Linked DNA regions of Sus scrofa. The protein of the gene in region 1 interacts with the protein of each later gene in a pairwise test. Links are inferred from orthologs where the notes say so. Each region holds a gene or a part of one and is shown on either strand. Other genes may lie near its edges.

What was found.
Region 2: the proteins of NDOR1 (region 1) and CIAPIN1 interact in binary tests that used the Homo sapiens proteins (3 or more experiments, as listed by UniProt). The two-hybrid records come from large-scale screens. The link is inferred for Sus scrofa from reciprocal best matches to the Homo sapiens genes NDOR1 and CIAPIN1.
Region 3: the proteins of NDOR1 (region 1) and TCHP interact in binary tests that used the Homo sapiens proteins (3 or more experiments, as listed by UniProt). The two-hybrid records come from large-scale screens. The link is inferred for Sus scrofa from reciprocal best matches to the Homo sapiens genes NDOR1 and TCHP.

Annotation. Positions count from the first base shown.
Region 1 is NW_018084833.1:692,214-695,072, forward strand, and holds part of NDOR1 (NADPH-dependent diflavin oxidoreductase 1), read right to left. Parts: intron 1,846-2,859; coding exon 1,748-1,845; intron 901-1,747; coding exon 802-900; intron 720-801; coding exon 618-719; intron 522-617; coding exon 312-521; intron 21-311; coding exon 1-20. UniProt on the Homo sapiens protein: NADPH-dependent reductase which is a central component of the cytosolic iron-sulfur (Fe-S) protein assembly (CIA) machinery.
Region 2 is NC_010448.4:19,363,086-19,366,585, forward strand, and holds part of CIAPIN1 (anamorsin), read right to left. Parts: coding exon 3,493-3,500; intron 1,563-3,492; coding exon 1,486-1,562; intron 76-1,485; coding exon 1-75. UniProt on the Homo sapiens protein: Component of the cytosolic iron-sulfur (Fe-S) protein assembly (CIA) machinery required for the maturation of extramitochondrial Fe-S proteins.
Region 3 is NC_010456.5:41,074,717-41,079,217, forward strand, and holds the start of TCHP (trichoplein keratin filament-binding protein), read right to left. Parts: upstream 2,929-4,501; 5' UTR 2,775-2,928; intron 1,236-2,774; coding exon 1,042-1,235; intron 1-1,041. UniProt on the Homo sapiens protein: Tumor suppressor which has the ability to inhibit cell growth and be pro-apoptotic during cell stress. Inhibits cell growth in bladder and prostate cancer cells by a down-regulation of HSPB1 by inhibiting its phosphorylation.

The DNA.
Region 1 (2,859 bases):
CCACGTCGCCTGCTGCAAAGCTGTGTGGGGAAGCCACGAGGGTGTGGGAAGAACCCCGAGGGTGGGGGGAGGGGCCTGCCTGCGGGGGAGGAGGCTGGGGGCTCCGGGGACACTGCGGAGGAAGGAAACAGGTGTCCAGGGAGGGCTGGCGGGGGGTCCACGGGGTGGAGGTGTGGCCCCCGACTCGCACCATCATCTCAGCTCCCCACCCTGCTGAGCGCCTGCTCTGGGCGAGGACCTGCTGGCCCGCAGCCCACAGCCCTGCCCCCCGACGGGGCCGGGCCCTGCGCAGCCTGGGGACAGACCCTCACCTGATCCCGGAGCCCGAGATGTCAAACTCAATCAGGCGGACATCCTGAAAGTGTGAGGGGCCGGTGACCCTCTGGTTGGTGACCATGGGTGCCAGGAAGGGCTGCAGCTCTGAAGGCGGTCCCTGAGGGTCTGTCCCGGCCACGCTCAGCTCCTCCGAGCACTTCCTGGGGGCCTCCTGAAGGAGCTGCAGGGTGAACCTGGAGGGCCAGCTACAAGGGGGCGGACACCTGTCAGTCCCCCGCTGGCCTGAAGCGCCGCCCCTGGGAGCCTCGTGCCAGGCCAGGTCTGGGGCGCCCCACACTTACGGGACTGCGGGCGCGGTCACACCAAGGTCGAGGGGCACAGCATGCGGCCCCAGTACCTTCTCCCACAGGTCGCGTAGCCAGGGGTCGATGGTGGCATCAGGCCTGCAGGGAGCACAGGTGCATGCGGGTCTGGGGCCCTGCTCGTGGCTGGGCCCCGCGGGAGGGCGCCCCCTCCCACACTCACCCCAGCTCGTGCTGGTCATCGCCCAGACACACGGGCAGGAGGGCGCTGCCCCCCAGCTGCAGCAGCCGGCGGTGCAGCTTCTTGGCCACAAAGTTAAACCTGTGGAGAGACGAGGCTGGCACGGGCCCCGCGCTGGAGGCGGAAGGGACAGCCCAGCTGCTCTTCCTGGGGTCCTTGGCTGTCACTGCGGCTCCCTGAATGACAGGACCTCCCAGGACACTGTCCACAGAGACCCTTCACCCCTCCTGCGGCGACAGATGTCTGCCTCACGCACAGAACAGAACCGCAAGCCCCGTGGACGGGTCGTGGATGCGTGGCCGCCCTCCTGTCCCGTCCGCCTGGACGAGTGCGGGCCCCGCCCTTAGCCCCTGAGCTGACAGTCGGGGTTTTAACGCTTCAGGAACTCAGGCTGTTTGCCCTTGAACGCAGAGCCCGTGGCCCTCCCCTGTTCTCTGCTTAGGACACAGCGTGTCCTGAAAACAGGGAGAAGCAAAAAGCAGAGACGGGAGGCCCCACGGCTGTGCCTGGAGAGGCGGCGGCCTCAGGGTGGCCCTGGGGCTGCTGTCTCCCATGCTAGCCACCTATTCGCTTCTTGCTGTTCTCTGCACTCTGCCTAAGCCCGAACATCTCAAAGAGCCTGTTTCTAAAAGCGGGCAAGGGCAGGGTGGGCCTTGGTCGCCCTAAGTCCCATGTCGACAGAGGACACTGGCTCAGGCCCAGGAAGTCTGGCTCGAGACAGCACCCCTGCCCTGCAAGAGGCCCAAGCCAGCCCCAGCCCTTGCCGCCGGCCTGCCCTTGGAGCCCCAGGCCTCTGGCTGCGGGGGAGGAGCCCACCAGGGAGGGTCTCTGGGCATGGCCAGGGTCAGGTCCCAAAGGGGGAGCCTGGGGGCTGGTCACGTGCCCCAGGATAGCCCCTGGCGGCCAGAAGCCCCCTGCCCTCACTTACTTGGCGTAAGAGGAATCCCCAAGGCCCAGGACGGCAAAGTCCATCTGACAGAGGGAGGTCGACGGCAGGTTTCTTCGGAATATGAACTTCCAGAAGCCCTACAGCCAGGAAATACCAGGCTCGGGCCGGCTCTGGGCCACCAGGGCCCGCGGGTGGGGTGGGGGTCCCAGGGGCCTGCTCTCCTGCTCCTCGACAGCTTTGTTATTAAGATAAGACCATTTTAAAATCTTTTTTTTTTTTTTTCTGGTCTTTTGTCTTTTTAGGGCCGCACTCCGGGCATATGGAGGTTCCCAGGCCAGGGGTCAAATCGGAGCTGCAGCTGCGAGCCTACACCACAGGCACAGCAACACCGGATCCAAGCCGCATCTGTGACTTACACCACAGCTCATGGCAACACTGGATCCTTAACCTACTGAGCAAGGCCAGGGATCGAACCTGCAACCTCATGGATACTAGTCAGGTTTGCTAACCGCTGAGCTATGATGGGAACTCCAAGACAAGACCCTTTTAAATAAATCCTATCACACAGGTAAGAGGCTTGGGAAAAAAGAGAAAACGGTAAAGGAGAGACCTGCCGAGAGCTACCACCATGGAGCTGGGCTCTGGGCGAGGGGCTTCGAGTGGGGGCTCTCAGGGGAGGCTGCAGAGCCCCGCTGGGCACAGGCAGGCAGGGGCCTCCCCAGAGGGGGCTGCGCAGCTCCGCCTCGGCCCTGAGCCCTCAGCCACAGGCTTGGGCCTGAGCGGCCACAGAACAGGTTCTGGGCTGACACGTCAAGGCCCCTCTCGGGCCCCAGTTCCCCCAGCTCCGTGGCCTCTGCTCTCCTTTGCAACTCCTCTCCTGGGCTGCTCGGGCACTCCCCTCCCTCAGGGCTTCAGCCTGTCCATAGGCCAGCAGGGGTCCCACGGCTGTCACCCTCTCCCAGGCGCCTTACACCCACACCTCCAAGGGGCCGGCCCGAGTCCCTCCCTCCCTGACCATAGCGTCCCCCTTGGGGTGGCCCCTCCGGAGCACGTCCTGCTCCATGTCCTGCCCAGGCCTCCCTGTGGGCCCAGAGGCACTGGCATCTTCAGCCCCTGATGACCTGAGCCTGACTCCCCCACCGTGTGTGCGG
Region 2 (3,500 bases), on another chromosome or scaffold:
GAGGCTGTCGCTGCGGTAACCCAGATGTTCCTGGACAGATCCAGTCTCCTCGGGGCTCAAGGACTCGCGCTGCAGCTGGAATTGAAGACGGCAGAGGATGAGCCAAGCCCCACCCACGATGTGATGCTGCCCCACGTCCATGGAGTAAGACAGCGGGAGAGCCCGCACTTCACCTGGTGCCTCACATCCAAGTTCCTACCAATCAGGACCCGAGAGTGTAACTTTTCTCTACATGTTTCCGTTGAGCCTCCCCCTTGGAAAGTTAAAGAATTTATCGAATATCTGTCTGTGAGGTACAAGGCCCTGTGCTCGTCATTGTGGGGGTTGTAATTATGACTATCAAACGAGTCAAACATGCTGAACAGGCTGTCGAATGGGAAGCCTGCCCACAGTGAAGATGCTAGAGATGAAATACCAAGCACAGGAAAGGGACCACAGGAGCGGGAAATGCTTTCTATGTTCCTTGGGAAGAAGCAGCAAATGGTAAAGGTAGGAAAAAAGGTGGGGGTGCCACCTCTATGTCCAACAATCATGGAATAAATAAATCATAGTCCACCTATAGCACCGAATAGTGGTCCATCATTGATAGGAAAGTGGGGCAATACATAGAGGTGGCTAAATGGCAAGGACAGCCTGAAGCAGGGAAAAGAGCTAGGGACTGAACACGTGTACATACAACCTTATTTACATTAAAAGGGGATATGCATACACACACACACACACACACACCACACACTTGTAAATACGTTAAAAGCAGTCTGAACAGCCACACTAAAAAAATGTATTGGTGGCTTCTTCTGGGGAGCAAAGTGTAAGCAAGGCCTGGGATGTCACTTTAGATTCTTCAGTCTTTATTGAATTTTTAGGAACAGTTCAGATTTTAGAATAAAAAGCAGAGGACCTTTTAACTTAAAAATAAGAAAGGGAAAACATACAGAAACTGAGGCTCTAGGGCACGTACAGATCAGTGGTGTAACAGCTATCATGGTACAACCCTTACCTCTCACACAAGAAAATTTCAACGTGGGAGAACAATGCAGAACCTTCAAGACCTCTATTTAGTGTTGCTATTTCTAATGAACTGTCAGAACTGGATTCCCCCTCCAATCTATTCCGGCCTCCCACCAAAAAGCTAAGGAAAATACAGGTGACTGCCTTTCACTTGGGCCTAAGATCTGTGTATTAAGAGCTGTATCGCTTTCTGCCTGCATCAGTGGTCACGACTGAGATCAGAATATGCCGCAGGGCCCAGGGCCCAAGCTGCGTCTCTTCAAAGGAGTTTATTTCCAGCGGTTTTGTCCTTTGAGGCATCCTGTATCTCACATGCGAAGCATTGCTCAACCTATTTCTTAGTCTAAGCAACACTAATCACCTCACCTTCAGGGCTGTTATTTCTCCCTGATTCTCTATCATCTGACAAAGAGATGCTGGGTTTAGTTACCCAGGACTTAAATTCCTAGCAAATCAGGTCATCTACAAACATACCTCTTTTACTTCCACAAGACCAGAAAGAGTCAGGGCTGAACACAGCTTAGACGCTGTCTTCACTTTGCTGTTGTTAACTGCCAAGAGGAAAACCCCAATTAGTAGCTTTATAGGTCAAAGCAGGAAAAATAATAAAGGCTCTATCCTATCTGGGTTAGCAGGCAATACAATACTAACCTGCTTTGTTCAATGTACATATATTTTAGTGATTTTTTTTTTTTTTTTGGTCTTTTTGCCTTTTCTAGGGCAGCTCCTGTGACATATGGAGGTTCCCAGGCTAGGGGTCTAATCGGAGCTGTAGCCGCCGGCCTATGCCAGAGCCACAGCAACGCGGGATCCAAGCCACGTCTGCAACCTACATCACAGCTCATGGCAACACCGGATCCTTAACCCACTGAGCAAGGCCAGGGATTGAACCTGCAATCTCCTGGTTCCTAGTTGGATACGTTAACCACTGAGCCACAACAGGAACTCCCTATTTTAGTGATAATATTTGAATTGGACAAATCCTTTTGGTTGTGCAAAGTGCTCTCACCCATGCTCTTCAGTGTTATAGACAGTAATTCCATTATTATTGTTTCTTATCACTCTCTGCTTCTCGGAAATACCTAACCTTCCAGGGGCTGGTGGATAGTGACTGAGCAGGAGGCTAGAAGCTGTAAGGTACGCGAGCATGCTCTGTATACCTCTGATAGACACTGTGTTCACCACCCTCGGCTGACATCTCAGCAAGGAAGGCAGTATCTGCTCCACACATCACAAGTCTAGATTTCAACCTAAACACCTTTATACATTTCAGAATACTTTCACTTACATTATTGGATAAAATAAGTCATCACAGGTTGATGGGAAGTCTAGTTAAAAATGCTAAAACTCTAGAACTGAATGACTGACAGCTTCACCCCGGAACAAAAGAGGTTTTTATTTCTTGGACTCCTATCTTCAGTTTCATGTGAATCAATATTTACCTCATCTCTCTCAGACTTCTAGTCACCATTTTTTTTTTTTTTTTTTTTTGTCTTTTTTGCCATTTCTTGGGCCGCTCCTGCGGCACATGGAGGTTCCCAGGCTAGGGGTCAAATCAGAGCTACGGCTGCCAGCCTACGCCACAAGCCACAGCCATGCAGGATCCGAGCCATGCCTGCCACCTACAGCTCACAGCAATGCCGGATCCTTAACCAACCGAGCAAAGCCAGGGATTGAACCCTCATCCTCACGGATACTAGTCAGGTTTGTTAGCCACGACGGGAACTCCCCAGTCACCATTTTTTAACTTTTTAGTTTGAAATAACTATAGATGCACAAGAAGTTAGTTAAAAAAAAAGTTCAGGGAGGTTCCGAGGACCCTTCACCTTGTCTCCCCACAATAACATCTTACACAACTATCACACAATATAAAGACCAAGAAATTGCCACTGAGAGTCCACAGAGCTTATCCAGCTTTCACCAGCTTTGTATATACTTCTGTGCATGTGTACAATGTTCATCACTACAAGGAGCCCTCATACTACCCCTTTAGAGCCTCATGTACCCCCTCCCTCCTATTCTTAGCCCCAGACGACAGCCAACCTGTTCTTCTCTGTCATTTCAAGAACGTGACCTGAATGGAATCATACAGCATATAAGCTTTTGAGATTGGATTTCTTGCACTCAGCATGATTCCCTTGAGATTCACCCAAGTTGTTGCACATGGCAACAGTCTGTTCCTTTTTCACTGCTGCAGAGTTTTCCATGGTGTGGATATACCACAGCTTAACCAGTCACCTGATGAAGGACCCAGCCATTTTCAAAAGGACAGTTCCCTTCCACCTTACTACTTAATGGGTCAAAGAACACAGTTTCTTCAGATGTGTTGGATCAGAGTCTCACAATAATTTATGCCTAAGGATAAGGCTTAGTATAGGAATATGATCTCCAAATGATACTTCCTGCTCTGAGAGATACCGTAAACATACCTAAAGATTCAACACTGTTAAACTCCAGTCTTTCAAGTGAAGATTTCCTTACCTACAGCT
Region 3 (4,501 bases), on another chromosome or scaffold:
GCTCAACGTGGGGGGTGAAAGAGGCTAAAGCCAACAGAATGGGGTGACCCAGGAAGGTGCCCTCTGGCCAAAGGAAAGAGAGCAGGTGACAGAACACTAGACATTATAGAATCTTATTTTTGCAAGAAGAAAATGTATAGTGAGCTTACATATGCATGTGCTAAAGGGACTAGCTAATATTTGAGCAATACCATGTACCAGGTTTTATATTAACCCAGACAATTTTATACGAATCATCACACAAATCCTGTAAAGTAGGTTCTGTTTTAGTCCCACTTCACTGATGAGGAAACTGAGGTTCATTCATATAGCAAGTGACAGTCAGGATTTCTATCTAGGTCTGTCTGACTCCAAAGCCTATGTTGTTGTTTTGTTTTGTTTTTTTGTCTTTTGTCTTTTCAAGGTTGTACCCACAGCATATGGAGGTTCCCAGGCTAAGGGTTGAATCGGAGCTGTTGCTGCCGGCCTATGCCACAGCCACAGCAATGCGGGATCCGAGCCACATCTGTGGCCTACACCACAGCTCACGGCAACACCAGATTCTTAACCCACTGACTGAGGCCAGGGATCAGACCCACAACCTCATGGTTCCTAGTTGGATTTGTTTCTGCTGTGCCATGACGGGAACTCCCAAAGCCTATGCTTTTAACTTCCATGTTTTTATATGTATTTCTATAAAAATGGGTATCAGTATGTACATATATTTACACACAACCACAAATGGAGAAAAGTATGTGGGGATGTGCACCAGTTAACTGTGGTTCCTTCCTGGGGATAGGGGGTTTCAAGGAGACTTGCAGATTCTACATACATTTCTCATCATTTTATCTTTTTCAGTACAAATGTGTTGCTTCACTGACGATCTTTTTCTTTTTTTTTTCAATTTCCAGTGGAAAGACATCACCGTGCAGGTGATCCATGCAATCCAGTAAATTCCTTAAGAACACATGCTGGCCAGCCACACTCCCCCAGATCCTCAGGTCACATCTGACCAGAAAGTGGCCCACCAACCACAGATGGTGGTGGTCACCACACTGTTACCTCCGCTGGTAGGAGGACCTGGAGCTCCATTCTGCCTGTTTGGAGCTGCAGATGTCAGACATCTTGAAGTAGCGGCTGTTCTCATCCCACTGCTGCCGAAGCTGGGCCTCCTGCTCCCGGTGTCGCTGTCGTGCGGCCTGCTGATCCAGGAGCCTTCGGCTGCACCAGGAGGAAGGCAGTGTGGGGAGTGCCATCTGAGAAGAACAGCATTGGTAAGAAAATGAGCCTGTGCCAACCCCTTGCCCCTTTAATGAGTGGGCCTCACCCCTGGGCTGCACATTGGGATGGTCTGGTAGAGGCTGGGTCCTAATCCAGACCAATTGAAAGTCCTGTGTAGGCCCCCAGTCATTAGCACTTTAAAAATGACTTGGTGGGGGGATAAATTAGGAGTTCAGGATTAGCATATATACTACTATGTATAAAAGAGATAAACAACAAGGCCCTAGTATATAGTGCAGGAAGCTATACTCAGTGTTTTATAATGACCTATAACAGAAAAGAATCTGAAAAAGAATATATAACTGAATCATTGTGCGGTATACCTAAAACTAATACAATATTGTAAATCAACTATATATCAATTTAAAAAAAATAAAGACTTGCCACTGGGGCTGCAAATCATCTATTTAAATAAGCCTGGACTGCACCCAGCTGTGAGCTAGATGTCATCAAGGGAACCACAGACATAGAGGACCAGTCCTGGCAATGCTAGACAAGCACACTGGTGACTTCTATGCACTGCCTAAAGTAACAGAGACGATAACTTAAGAGATGTGTTTGTGTGCCAAGCTCATGACATGTATGGCCTTTTTTGATGTTACTCTCACCCCATTATTTGGATAGGTGAGAAAACTTAAGTTCAAAAAGGTAAAACAACTTGCTCAAGATCACAAGGCCAGGAAGTAGAGAAACTTTATAAAAGCTAGGGGATCCCATTTCCTGTCAGTCTGAGAGGAGGGCCCTGGCTTTGCAGACAGCGAGAGGCTGCCTGTTGGGATCCCTTTGGCAACTCCCAAAGAGGAGCCCAATCCAGGTGTCACACCTGGAAGTGCTCTGGATTAGCAAGAAGGGAGACCCCTCATTTTACAGATGGAGAAACTACAACTCAGAGAGGAATCGACTTGCAGATCAAGGAGCACTCTGGAGACCCGACAGCAGAACCAGTCTGACTCCGGACACCTCTTCCTCTGGTCCAAAAGCTGCCCCATGTCCAGGGTCTACACAGTGTCTGGCTATGCTCGTGCTTAAGGAGCGTCTATTGAATAAGCAAACTCAGAGCCCTCCAAACCTGGAGGGAAATAATCTGCTTCTATGAGCCAAGTTTAGCCTGAGGCTGCCAGTTTATGATCTGTCTTAAGACTGTGCCAGGCTTGACAAACTTTCTTCCTAGTCCTGTGATCCGCCTGCAGATAAACTTTGCACCAGGAATCAAGAAATGTAGGATTCCAGTCCTGGATCGGCCACCAACAAAATGGGCTGCTCCCTGAACTAGTCGAATCCCTCTCTCAGCCTCAACGGCCACGAATGACAAAAGCGGTTACACAGGCAAGTGTAGGACCCAGATCGCGCGCAGGGAGCAAAGTGAGGACCGGAAGTCGAACCCCCGCAAGCCCAGCGATCGCCGTCTCGGGTAGGCGGGCGAGCTTCCCGCCAGCGCGGGCCTGACTGTAGCGGAGCTCTGCGGGTCCCGTCCCCAACGCCGGACCCCGGCCAAGCCCAAACCCCAGACTCACGTTTCTCTGCACCCCGGAGATTCGGAAGAGTGCCCCAGCCCGAGCTCCCGTACGCCCCAACTAAGCCGAGCCCAGCCGGCAAGACGCTCCGGGGAAGCGATGCACCCACCAGCCTTTTCCCCCTATCGTTGTCGGGGCAACGGGCCAGTGACGGGGCGCGGCGAGGGCCAAACTTCCTCCCGCGCGATTGCTGGCCGCTCTGAAGGAAAGAAAAAGAGGTTGTGTTTCTCTCTGGCGCCCCCGCGTGGTGGGCGGGAGCTCAATCGCAAACATCACTGGTCCTGTAAACTGGGAAGGAAAGAAGAAAAGAATCCGTTCACTACACCAAATTCAGAATGGTGGCTACATAGGGGAGACAAGGATGAGGGTTGGGGGAAATCAGAAGAATATAGAAGGGGATATATAAGCCACATGAGAATCATCTGGGAGCTCTTAACAATCCAGATGTCCAAGCCAAACTCCAGAGAAATCCCATCAAGCTCCCTGAGGGTATCAGTGGTTGTGTAAGCTCCCCAGGTGCATCCAACGTGCAGCCAGCTCAAAGAACTGCCGATGTAAATAGGTATGAGTTATTAGTAACTTTCTATTGTCTTAGGATGGTGGTGGGTTCAAGGGTGTTCATTCTCTTAGTGTGTTTTATAGCTCGCATGTGTTACATGTATTAAGTATCAATCATTCCATTAAAATAAATAATAAAATATTCACTCTTTCATTCATGTTCTTTTCATTTTCTCATTCTTGCCTTAATTTCTTTTTCCCTTCATTCCTTCATCCCTTGTCCGCTTCTCTCTTTTTCCTGGATGCAGAGTAATGTCCTTTGAATGTAGTGGCCTCTGTTGCAGCCTTGACCATGCTAGATGTGTGGTCTTGGACAGGTCACTTCATCACTCCATGCCTCAGCATCCTCATCTGTAAAATGAGAATGTTAAAGTAATTGAGAAAGGCGGCCATTTGACTGGGGAGGCTCTGACCCTTTGGTAGCCTATGCAAGCAAACCTAAACCTAGGTCAGATTCATCTGAGCTAGTGAAATTTACCAATCCCAAAGAGCCAATGAGGGAGTTCCCCGTCATGGTGCAGTGGAACAAATCTGACTAGGAACCAGAGGACGCAGGTTTGATCCCTGGCCTCGCTTGGCGGGTCAAGGATCCGGCATTGCAGTGAGCTGTGGTGTAGGTCGCAGACTTGGCTCGGATCCTGCGTTGTTGTGGCTGTGGCATAGTCTGGCTGGCAGCAGTAGCTCAGATTTGACCCCTAGCCTGAGAACTTCCATATGCCGCAAGTGCAGCCCTAAAAAGCAAAAAAAAAAAAAGAAAAGAAAAGTAAAAAACCAAATAGCCAATGAGACTTTCCCAAACAAGGCAGTTACTTAAGCGGCAGGCAATCAAATGATTTCCTCGTTTCCACATCTTCTCTGCAAAAACCTCTCTCCTAGGTTCTGCCCGTACACATTCGGTTCAGTGCTACCTGATTCAAATCAATAAGTCTTGACATTTTTACTGTGCCTCAGTTTATCTTTTAACAAGAATACCAACAGGGCTGCCTTCTAGGGTTACCCTTGTGAGATGCAATGAAGGTTTAAATGGAGCACACCTAGGTGCAGAGCACCTGCTGTCCCACAGGGGCCCACACTCTCTCACATCTCACTTTACTTGACATGTGTTTGTTCAACATCTGCCCTGCCCCAGGGTTAGCCTCTGATTGGTTTCGCCCTCTTTGACCAAGCTT